Linked DNA regions of Coturnix japonica. The protein of the gene in region 2 binds, or shares a complex with, the protein of the main gene of each other region. Links are inferred from orthologs where the notes say so. Each region holds a gene or a part of one and is shown on either strand. Other genes may lie near its edges.

Region 1 (5,305 bases), on a different chromosome or scaffold from region 2:
CCTGGGCACTGGGCCTTCTTTAGGAAGCAAGCTTTACAAGGTAGGCATTGATGGGCTGCAGACCGCACTGTAAATGTTTGCTGTCCATCAGCAGCAGTGCAGTTACACCACGCCCTTTGGCACAAGGCAGCATTTCTGAGGCTGTACCAGAGCCTTTTGAACCAATTGTACTTTTCCTTAAAACACCAGTGATAAAAATCCAGGATCAAACATGCTTTGAGGGGGTAACTTGTGTACTTCCCAGCCAGGTTACTTGCTTTTCCACCTTCAGCAGCTCTTCTCCTGAGGTGAGCCGTTCCAGCTGGTCACTGGTGAATTTTCTGCACCAGCACAGCTCCTAAAGTTCTACAGCAGTCAGATACCGTAACTTTGTAAATACATCTTGAAGAACAACAGCTTTGGGTAGAGGAAGTTTTCTTTTAGGGTAATCCCAGGGAGCTTGTTAAATTTCACTTCCTCCAAGTTGCTTCTTGAAAATGACCGTGTAAAAGGGAACCTTAAGTAAGTGCTTTATATAGATCTTTGCTTGTTTTCCATTTTAAATGATGAGATTGAAAGCAAGGTTTTGAGAATGCTTGACCATCAAGGACGCTTCAGAATGGATTATTCTGAACCCAAAAAGGATTATTTGCATTAAGAGGGAACCATACTCTATAATACCCAGGGGATATAAAAGGTTGTAGGGAATCAACTGAAGAAGATGCAGTGGTGGAAGTCAGTGGGAAGACGTTACCTTTGCAAATGGCCTAAGGATACCCTGAAAGAGAGAGGAAGCTAGAAAGTAAAGACAGAAAGCAGAGAAGAAAAGGCCAGCCTTGTTAAATAGACCCTGCACTGTAAAAAACAAACCCAAGAACTGCAACATGGGAACACGGCCACCAGCCTACAACAAACTGCACAAACACAGACCGTATGTGTTGGTCTCACATTTTTACTTAATTTTAAGTTCTGTATTAAAAATTAATACATCAGACTCTTAGAAAAGTAAGGCACATGCAAAACATGTTGTGCAACTTCTGAGGTTTTCCTCTTACAAACTAACAAGCGTTAATTGAATTTGGCGTTTCTAAAGTGTCCTCTGTCCCCATGCAGGATATGTGGAAGAAAGTTAAGTTAGGTTTGACACGGCACCATCTAGTTACATCTAGACTCTGTGCTTTCTGTGCTACAGTAAGCACGATATGGCTGATCTTAGAGTTGTAGAACACAAAAACAAACATTGATTCTGAAAGCAATGACTGATGTACATACAAAATTTACCACTGCGAAATTATATCCGTTACAATACATCGATAACCTTATTCAGTACATGATGATTTGGCAGCTCCAGTCTGTGTAATGCCAGTGCGGGATTCCCAGGTGTCGATATCATACAATGCTGAAGACCATGCAGAGGTACTGCTCGTAGGACACCTGAATCCAGCCATCCTGATCAGTATCGTACCGTCGGAATACATCAGTCAGCCTCTAAAAATGTAGAGAAAGAAGAAACATTTTTGTACACAGGGGAAGATCGGACTGCCACACTTCCATGTATGAATGCTGCTTCTTTGTGCCCTCTAGACACAACACAGGGCCAGGCACACAGAGGGAGCTTTTTGCTGTGTCTCATGCTTGGATCTGATTTTGTTACCTATCTATCTCAGGACACACCTAAGCCTATCCTAAGCACTTGTTTATAAGCCAGAGCGCTCTTTATATCTGGCTCTTCAGGAGGTGGGAACAAAGTGAAACTCTGGATACCTTTGAGAGTCAGCTGTAGGCAGGATCCAAAGAGTACTATTTGTCTTCTAGCCCAGTCTGCTCAATGCATCACTAATACCTTGGTTGTCTCTCAGCAATCCCCCAGCGGACGGGCAGCGCTGGCAGTGGAGCAGAACAGCTACTGCTGTGGTTTCACTGACAGCACATGAATGATGAGCAACAGCAAAGCCCTCTTCACTAGAATTTAAGCTCATAGCAAATCAAAATTGGTTCATACTGCAAGTGAATATAAAAGCAGTACGTGCTTCAGTGGCAGCATGTGACATAAGGCTGTAAACATAAAACTAAAGAAGAACAAAGCGCTTAAGGCAGATGATGAGGATACCAGTTACACAGAAGCAGAGTTGTAGGGGCTGGAGGGGACCTCTGGAGATAGTGTTTAAGTCCAACCCCAGAGCCTTATTTCTTTATTATTGCAAGGTGGAAGATAGCTAAGGTGCCATGGAAACACTAGTTGTACTAAGGAAAAAAAAAGGAAAAATTCATCTTCCAGCATACTAAAATGGAGCTTGCCCATTGCTGAACTTTCCCAACTTTCCCTCAAAGTCTTGTCTACGTTTCATGAAGGCTACAGACTCTTAGAGAAACCATTGGGTGATTTATTTCTAAACAGAAGAGTATACGTGCAGAGGGATAGTCTCTTTCTCTCCCTTCTCTCTTGCTCCCCATAAACATTCCTATAACTGAAAGGGTGGGTTGGTTTTCTGTTGCTGTTTGGTTTGGCTTTTGTTTCATTTTGTTTAGAATGTCTTTTACTACCACTGCCCCTGCAGGAACAGCAGAGACAAAAGATCAAATAATTCAGCTGTTAGTCCAAAATGTTGTAAATCAGAGCCTTAGGCAGAGATAGGAAATCCTCACAACTTAGATTGCAGATTGGAGTATGCTCAAGAGGGCAACATGGGACATAACACGCTCCAGCTTGAATGCATCCTAGATCCAAAGAGACTGTATATCAGAGCTAATGAAAAGAGCACTGAATGTTTTCCTGAGGATATTTTTCTTTTTATCATCCCATTAAAAATACTTAAGAGGTCAAAAGGAGCTTAAAGATTTATCTGTATGGGATGCAAGTGGATAACAAGTGAAGATGTACACTTGGAGATGTTTCTGTCATCTCCTGTACGCTTTATTCAAGTGGATGATTATTCACAAGCACGTTCTAGTTTCAGTATTATAAAGTGAGAACCATAAAAGTTTGAGAAAAGACAGGTGTTGTTTTTTTTTTCAATTGACATTAAAAGTACATCTCCTTTCTTACCTGTAAAACAACACAGCACTGAATAAAGTCATCAAAAGCAACTTGGCCTTTTCCTTGTCTGTCAAACTTCCGAATAAGGGTATCGTAGAACTGATCAGACAGCCGGTAACCTTGGACAAGAGAAATCCTTTAGGATGATTCAATTACTACAGACTTTCTGCTAGGTGGTTTGGCGGGCATGGGCAACAGAAGCAGAAAACACAAGTTACGAGAGCTTTGTTTTTTCCTGCTAAGTACATCTACTGAACAACACAGGTGTACAGACAGAAGGCATGCAATAGAAACCATGGTCAATAACAACAGTTACACACAGTACATGTTATGGACTGAAGTGACAATTGGTTTACTAGCAGAATGGAAAAAGCAGTTCACACACACGTACCAGCAAGTGCGCTTTCATTTCCTCCATACGGGGAAATACTTCTAAAAAGCAAGCCAACAGTTGCAACAGGGCTGCAACCAGGGCAGAGCGCCTCTAAGAGGTTCCTCATCCTACTGCCTTTCGCTTGTCTCATTTCTATTTCTAGCCGTGCGTCCCAGCAGCAGCCCTGACAATACTGAGGTCACATAATGTGGTATCGTAAAAACTGTAATTACGAATGAATTACCAAAACCTGTTAGTGCTTGCTTTAGTTCACTTTTGTCAATCATTCCAGAATTGTCCCTGTCATACGTTCGGAAGACGTTCTGCCAATCTGTGATGTACTTCCAGACTCCCGTGAATTCATTGAAATTCACACCGCCTTTGTTTTCTCTGTCAAACATGCCTGAAATAAAAACAAGAAAGCCATATAAAAATCTCAGCTCTGCCAGGTCTTCGGGAAGATGTGCTGGTGCTTTAAGACAGAAGTGAGATGCTTTAGGGAGTACTGACAACAGGCGAGGAATTACTAAAATACAAGTGATATTTAAGTCGTCCGCCAAAGGAGGAAAGAATTGAGCAAGAAAATCAGAGTGAGTCACACAATATTTATTTTTCCTGGTTTTTCATTTCCAGTTTCAAAGGGTTTGATGGATAACCCAGTGACAGAATGAGAAAACGAGGTTTGCTCTTCTCTAAGGACTTGTGAGAAAGCCTACAATGTCTACGGACTGCCAGAAGCATTGGAACATTGATCAGCTTTTGGCTTACAGATCCCATCCCCTTTATGGAGAGGTAGCACATTGCACGGGGATGGAATGCTGACTGCTGCTGAGCAAGTTTTAAACACAGGGCATTCATTTACAGTTCAAAAGGGTCAATACTTCAGTTGATATCTTCCAACTACTGAGAAAAAAACAACAAGACTTAGAAAACCACGGCATCTTTACAGTCACAGACCAGCTCACTAACACTATGACCAGATTGGTTCACCAGACCTTTAAATATGTATTCAACTTTACAGTAGAAAAACACCTTGTACACGTATTGTGATAACTGTACATATTTGATTCCGCAGTGACTGCTTTCTCATACCGGAGCTGAAAAACCAGCAGGGTCTTTGCCTACTTGACAGCACGCAGTCGTACTCACCGAGAATTGACCTGACTGTTGCTGGATTGAATGGAGTCCATGTGCCTGAAACAGAAAGAATTACTCAGTTCCTTGAGGCAACATTCAAAACAGGCAACTGAACAGCAAGCAAAGAGCCATAAGAACTAGAAACAGTGAATTCAGAGCTAAGCAAGCTACTCCTCATTTAACAAAGCTGCTTTGAAGTAACTGTGGTCTTGATGACTTCTGACCAATGCTCTAATAATGTTGCACAGAAACCCAACATTTTTCAGTCTGCATAAAAAAACACCCCAAAACATAAACTAAAATCCAGCCGAGAACCAAAGCCTTAGAAGAACCAAGAATGGTTGTCAGGAGTCTTTTGCCCATTTCTCATTAATAAAACTAAAAATCTGACTGCTCCCTATTCTACAGATGGGTTACTCCAGGACACTGAAAAGAACAGGTTCTTAACATCACAAGAGGCACACAATGCGATTTCAAGCTGAGTTTTGTATAAATCCCCTCCCCATGCTGAATTGAAAGCATTGTTTAAATGAGTGTGTTTTCAGGCCAAGAAATGTTAGTGCTTGGGCAGGCCTGAGCACAGCCGTGTGTAGAGGAGCTTTGGGCTTCTGTCAGCAGCTGCTACTGAATGTGGAAAGGCTCCTCACTTTGGGCCAGTTTTTACTGGGTTGGAATCACTCCAGAGTTCTAAAGAGCAGAGTTATATTATTTCATGTCAAAGAAAGACATGACAACAGACTAATACAGATTCCATACAGAGAAACCACAGCAACTCTGGT
Region 2 (4,698 bases):
CTGCAGAATGATCTTGCCCACACAACAAGCAAGAAGTCCATATTGCAAAAATTAGTGAAAGTGCTTGAAAACAGATCAACTGCTCTTAAATTGCTGCTTTACATAACACCATGACACCTCCAAACAGTTTTTAGTAAGTGATGTGCATACAGTACCTCGCCCGTGTTAGGGTTTGAACACAGTATTTTGGCATCCTTCCCACAGCTTAGTAGCAGCTCTGAATCTGCCATACTCCAAGCAATAGCCAATATACCCCTGTGTGAGAAGTCACAACCAAGTAACATATTAATACGAATGCAAAATGGTGATACAGCATGTTTGTCAGCAAGTTGCTACAGTAGCTGAGCAGTCTACGTCAAAATGTCCTCCCCACTCCTTCTTCTGTTTTTTGCATGAGTAGCTGTAAAGGTACAGTCACCATAAATAAAATTCAATTAAATAAAATTAAATTCAACACTTCTGTATGCAGATATGGTTACCAATCCACTCAAATGGTTCGACTGATTGCACCATCATTAACACATTTTATGCAAACTAATAGGTTGAAACAGTGATTATCAACATTCTGACAGCTTTTTATTAGCAGAAAATCTGTATCAGCTGAGCGACTGGCAGCAGTTTTGGCGGTAGCTGCAACACAGACACTGCTGCTCTTTACGTAAATCAATCTACTGCCGACCTTGCAGTCCAGCTGCTTCTCAAACAGAACAGAAGCAAACCAGGAACTTTAAAGTTATTTTTAATGTGAGGCCCATTCCCTTCCAGCCAGCAGTATCCAACACTGCTTGCTGCTGGAAAGTGGCTCCACCTAAGCAAGCATTGGTAGGGAACCACACAAACAGTGAGATGAACTAACTGCTATAGTCATAAACAGTGTGAACATTAAAGAGCAGCAGGTCACAACAAGCGTCTCGTACCTCGTATGGCTTTCCAAAACACGCAGTGGAGAGGAGGTAAATCTAAGGTCCCACATCTGAATCACGGGTAACCTGTCATCCTCCGAAGCCAAAACCATCTGGGTAGCAACATCGGGGTGCCAGGCCAGGCCCGAACAGTGCATCTAAGGGATAACATTGTGCCACAGCACAGGGTAACCACATAGTGCTAAAGGACAGAAGGCCACCAGTCTAAATAGATTTGCAAGGAAAACACAATCTCAAGATGCCAATTAGCAGCTGTACTTCTGGATGTTGCTTCTGACTGCACTGAGATTGGGATACTGTCCTCATCTCCACGAGCGAGACTTGGAGTGAGATCCTGAAGGCTCTCCTGTTTATAACTGTTTTAATACAAGAATACTGTAAAAGCAGCTGAACAGAGTTTTTTCACTACTTTAGTATTTATTGGTATTTTAATAAAAGCCATCATTACGCAGAGGCTATCATCACATGAAAGCTCCATCAGAGCATTACAATTACACAGTGAAAACAGCTTACCGTACTGCTATTACATCAAGGAACAGATATGTAAAATATGAAGTTAGGAAGCTTATCTGAGCAGGAATGCAGTGACCAAGCAGCTCATTCAGGAGCACACACACGTAAATTTTATCCTGAACTTGCTACACCCTCAGTGTTTTTATAGCAATACTCACTTATATTTATAACAAATCATACAAATATTTCACTCTCCATAAGATAAGTGGGCTCTTTTCTGTATTGACAGCATGGGAGGTGTGATGGCTTTAAGCATATGGGAGTAGGGGTAATCAGGTCATGGGTTAAATTCTTCTGTGGTGTTCCATCACCACGACCTATCCTTGCCAAGCTCTGCCAGTGACATCCAAGCCACCTGCACTTCCCTGTAAGTACCGATGCAGTTGTGCCAGAGCTAACTCACCCGGTTGTTGTGGTCGCTGACTTTGATGATGGGTTCATTTTTCCTGAGATCCCACACAGTAGCTCGACCGCTGGGGCTGGCGGAGGCCAGGATGTGCTGGACTTGCCTGTTCCACGCAATGCAGCTGATGTCTTCAAGAGGCTGCCACACAAACAGCACAGCCTGTCACACCCTTTCCAAAATAATGTCTTAAGGAGTGGGGAAAGTTTGTTAGCTTTTCTACTTCCTTCCCCCAGAACAGAAAAGCAATGCTAACCCAGCCCTTCTTGGCGCACTGCATTCCCTAAAGTCAATAAGCACATGGACTAAAAGACTGCACAGCTTAAAAACAGACCTCCCAGCACAGAAAATCCTACACAGGAATCCTTAACAAAAGCAAGCTTCCTTCAAAATGACCACATGAAAACAAACTAAAGTCACTCAGGAACAACATACAGCAAAGGAACTTGGTTTTACTTACATTAATATGAAGGTATTCGTTATTTGTTTTACCACATAGACTGTAACTAAGATTGCCAGAAATGCAGCTCACTGTTAATTGCAATTAACTGATACTCAAGTTAAATTTTAACACTCTCCCCCACCCCCAGGCAGCTTCAAAGCTGTCGGTCTTAATGAGCTCACATCCTAAGTAACATTCGTGTTTTCCATTAGTTTACTCTGCAGTATTTCATGAATACCTATCTAGTACCTGTGTCTTTGCTCCCGGAGTCATCGGTGTGGCAAAATTATTTAAGTCCCAGATATAGATTTCAGACTCATTAGCACCAGAGGCCACCAGATTAGTCTGTAAGACACGTTAAAATATGGTAAGAGTATTTTCAGCACCAGCTTTTGCAGTCTTAGCCACAGACTGACGAGTCTGTGCCAATTTCTTCTTAAGGGAAAAGCAGCAACACCAGAGATTGAAGATAAATGCCAAGTAAGTAAAGGAACTCCCCACACCAAATCAGACCAGTGTGCCAAGAACAAGATTTCTGTCTCACTGAGGGTTCCTCCACTGCATGGCAAACATGTGAAGAAGCTACAGCCACAGAGGGCCCAGTGCTGACATTTCTAGGATAGAGCAGATGGGGAAGCAGCATTTTGCCCCAGGGCCGGGCTGGCTGGAGGGAACATGGCACTTGAGCCTCCAGCCCAATCCTGTGGCCAGGATGCAAACATCCAGGCAGTGTGATGTGGTTTAGTGGCACCGAGCACCCTTTGTCTGCATCCTACAGCCGCTGACATGCAAGTCCTAACTTCATAAGGGACAGAAAGAGAGGAAGCTCTTCAGAGAAGGCACAATGAACAAAGGGTGGCCTTGCTAAAAGTAAGTGTGTATAGACAGAAGCGTTATTTAGGAAACAAAATCAACTCAGTTCTCATGCAGCTGGTGGGGGGCTGAGGAAAAGCTGACCCGCTGAATCTAGAAGCAACTAAACTCTCATCAGCAAGTGAGAAAAGCTTGAGAGTTCTGCCTTAAGAGGCTGCACCATGGTGTATTTGCTCTGACTCCCTTTTCCAAGTGAAATATTTAGAGCTGTGTGTGGCAACAATCTGTTAAAACAGGCCACTCATCCAAGACTGAACATGATAAACAACCGAAAACCCACCTGAAACATGTTGACATCAAGTGCTCTCACTGGTCCCGTGTGCTTGTCCTTCTGAGCAATTATCACTTCGGATTCTCCAGCTATGATTTTGGCTGGGTCATACAGAATGACATTCCCATTCTCACCCCCAGCAATCAGGACTCCAGAGACTCTCTCGCCTGCGGTCATGCTGTGAGGCCCCCAGATCAGCTTGTGGTACCTGCACGACAGACAGACACAGGCTGCAGCCATCCAACACCATAATACGAGCAATAAGCCTGGAGGTGAGCCTCTGCTATCTGTGGGCAGCTGGTTGTACAAGGGAGAGAAAAACAGATGGAGCTGGAAAAGAACTCCCAAACCTTTTCCTCATCAGTGCTCCTGAAAGTGCAAATATTCCATCTGTAGTACTAGACGCTCAGCAAATGACTTACATCAGAAACACGTCACTTGGACCGCTATCTATTTCCCAAGCTGAATTAGAGGAATCAAATACACTTCCACAAGCCCTTTCAAGCCTCCGTGCCACTGCACAAAAAAAGCCCACACATATTTCCTTCAAACCAAACTTGTTGAATAAACAAAACAGCATTCCTGGGTATTAGACCACATAAAGCATAGTTTTCTTCTACATATAACAACACACTACCACATCACAGATGTTAGGCAAGCAGAAAGCTTACACTACACTGACGAGCTACTTTACGGTATCAGGCAAACCCTTTCTCTGGGTATCCTGATTTCTGTAATTCAGCGTGTAACTAGGCAAGGGTAGAAGAAATGGAACAATCAACAGAGAGGATTAGTATTGTACTGTCAGCAACATTCAACAGGCCTTAAGTATCCTAAAAGAAAACAGAAAAGGCTGAGGAACAAAAACGAATTAATCGTGTAATCGTTTTCCTTTTGCACTTTGCCCTTTTCAAGATACGGTTCTATAACAGCCCCTAGAAATTTTCCATGGGAGGACAAGTAACAGAACCTGTTACCACATTCAATTTCTGTCTATTTAATTTGTAAGTCATTTTCTGGGGGCAAAGTCAAACACTCAAAGGAAGCACTCTTAAAGGAGTTCAGCATACTGCCTGTAAGAAGTGTGTTCTGAAACCCAGTAAAGCAAAAGCCAGTTAGTAAGCTCTGAAAGTATCAGTTATATTTCAAATGGGTTAAGAAAAGGCAAAATCCAGGTTCAAACTCCTCACTCTGCCGCCAGTGGATCACTAAGGAGTATCAACAGCAGCTCTGCCCACAGCTCAGGCCTTCAGGCATTCTGTGGCTCTGCTGG

What was found.
Region 1: the proteins of SEC31A (region 2) and PDCD6 are in contact, whole or in part, in a crystal structure (PDB 3WXA), measured with the Homo sapiens proteins. The link is inferred for Coturnix japonica from reciprocal best matches to the Homo sapiens genes SEC31A and PDCD6. Residues at the interface, in NP_001070675.1 of Homo sapiens: Asn837, Pro838, Pro839, Pro840, Pro841, Gly842, Phe843, Ile844, Met845; in NP_037364.1 of Homo sapiens: Val31, Val35, Leu48, Ala51, Leu52, Ser53, Asn54, Gly55, Thr56, Trp57, Phe85, Trp89, Ile92, Gln96, Phe99, Phe148.

The regions. Positions count from the first base shown.
Region 1 is NC_029517.1:80,106,319-80,111,623, reverse strand, and holds the end of PDCD6 (programmed cell death protein 6), read right to left. Parts: intron 4,584-5,305; coding exon 4,539-4,583; intron 3,793-4,538; coding exon 3,634-3,792; intron 3,449-3,633; coding exon of another isoform or gene 3,408-3,448; intron 3,136-3,407; coding exon 3,026-3,135; intron 1,468-3,025; coding exon 1,369-1,467; 3' UTR 914-1,368; downstream 1-913. UniProt on the Homo sapiens protein: Calcium sensor that plays a key role in processes such as endoplasmic reticulum (ER)-Golgi vesicular transport, endosomal biogenesis or membrane repair.
Region 2 is NC_029519.1:41,242,135-41,246,832, reverse strand, and holds part of SEC31A (protein transport protein Sec31A), read right to left. Parts: intron 3,634-4,698; coding exon 3,435-3,633; intron 2,627-3,434; coding exon 2,531-2,626; intron 1,981-2,530; coding exon 1,840-1,980; intron 1,061-1,839; coding exon 918-1,060; intron 256-917; coding exon 156-255; intron 1-155. UniProt on the Homo sapiens protein: Component of the coat protein complex II (COPII) which promotes the formation of transport vesicles from the endoplasmic reticulum (ER).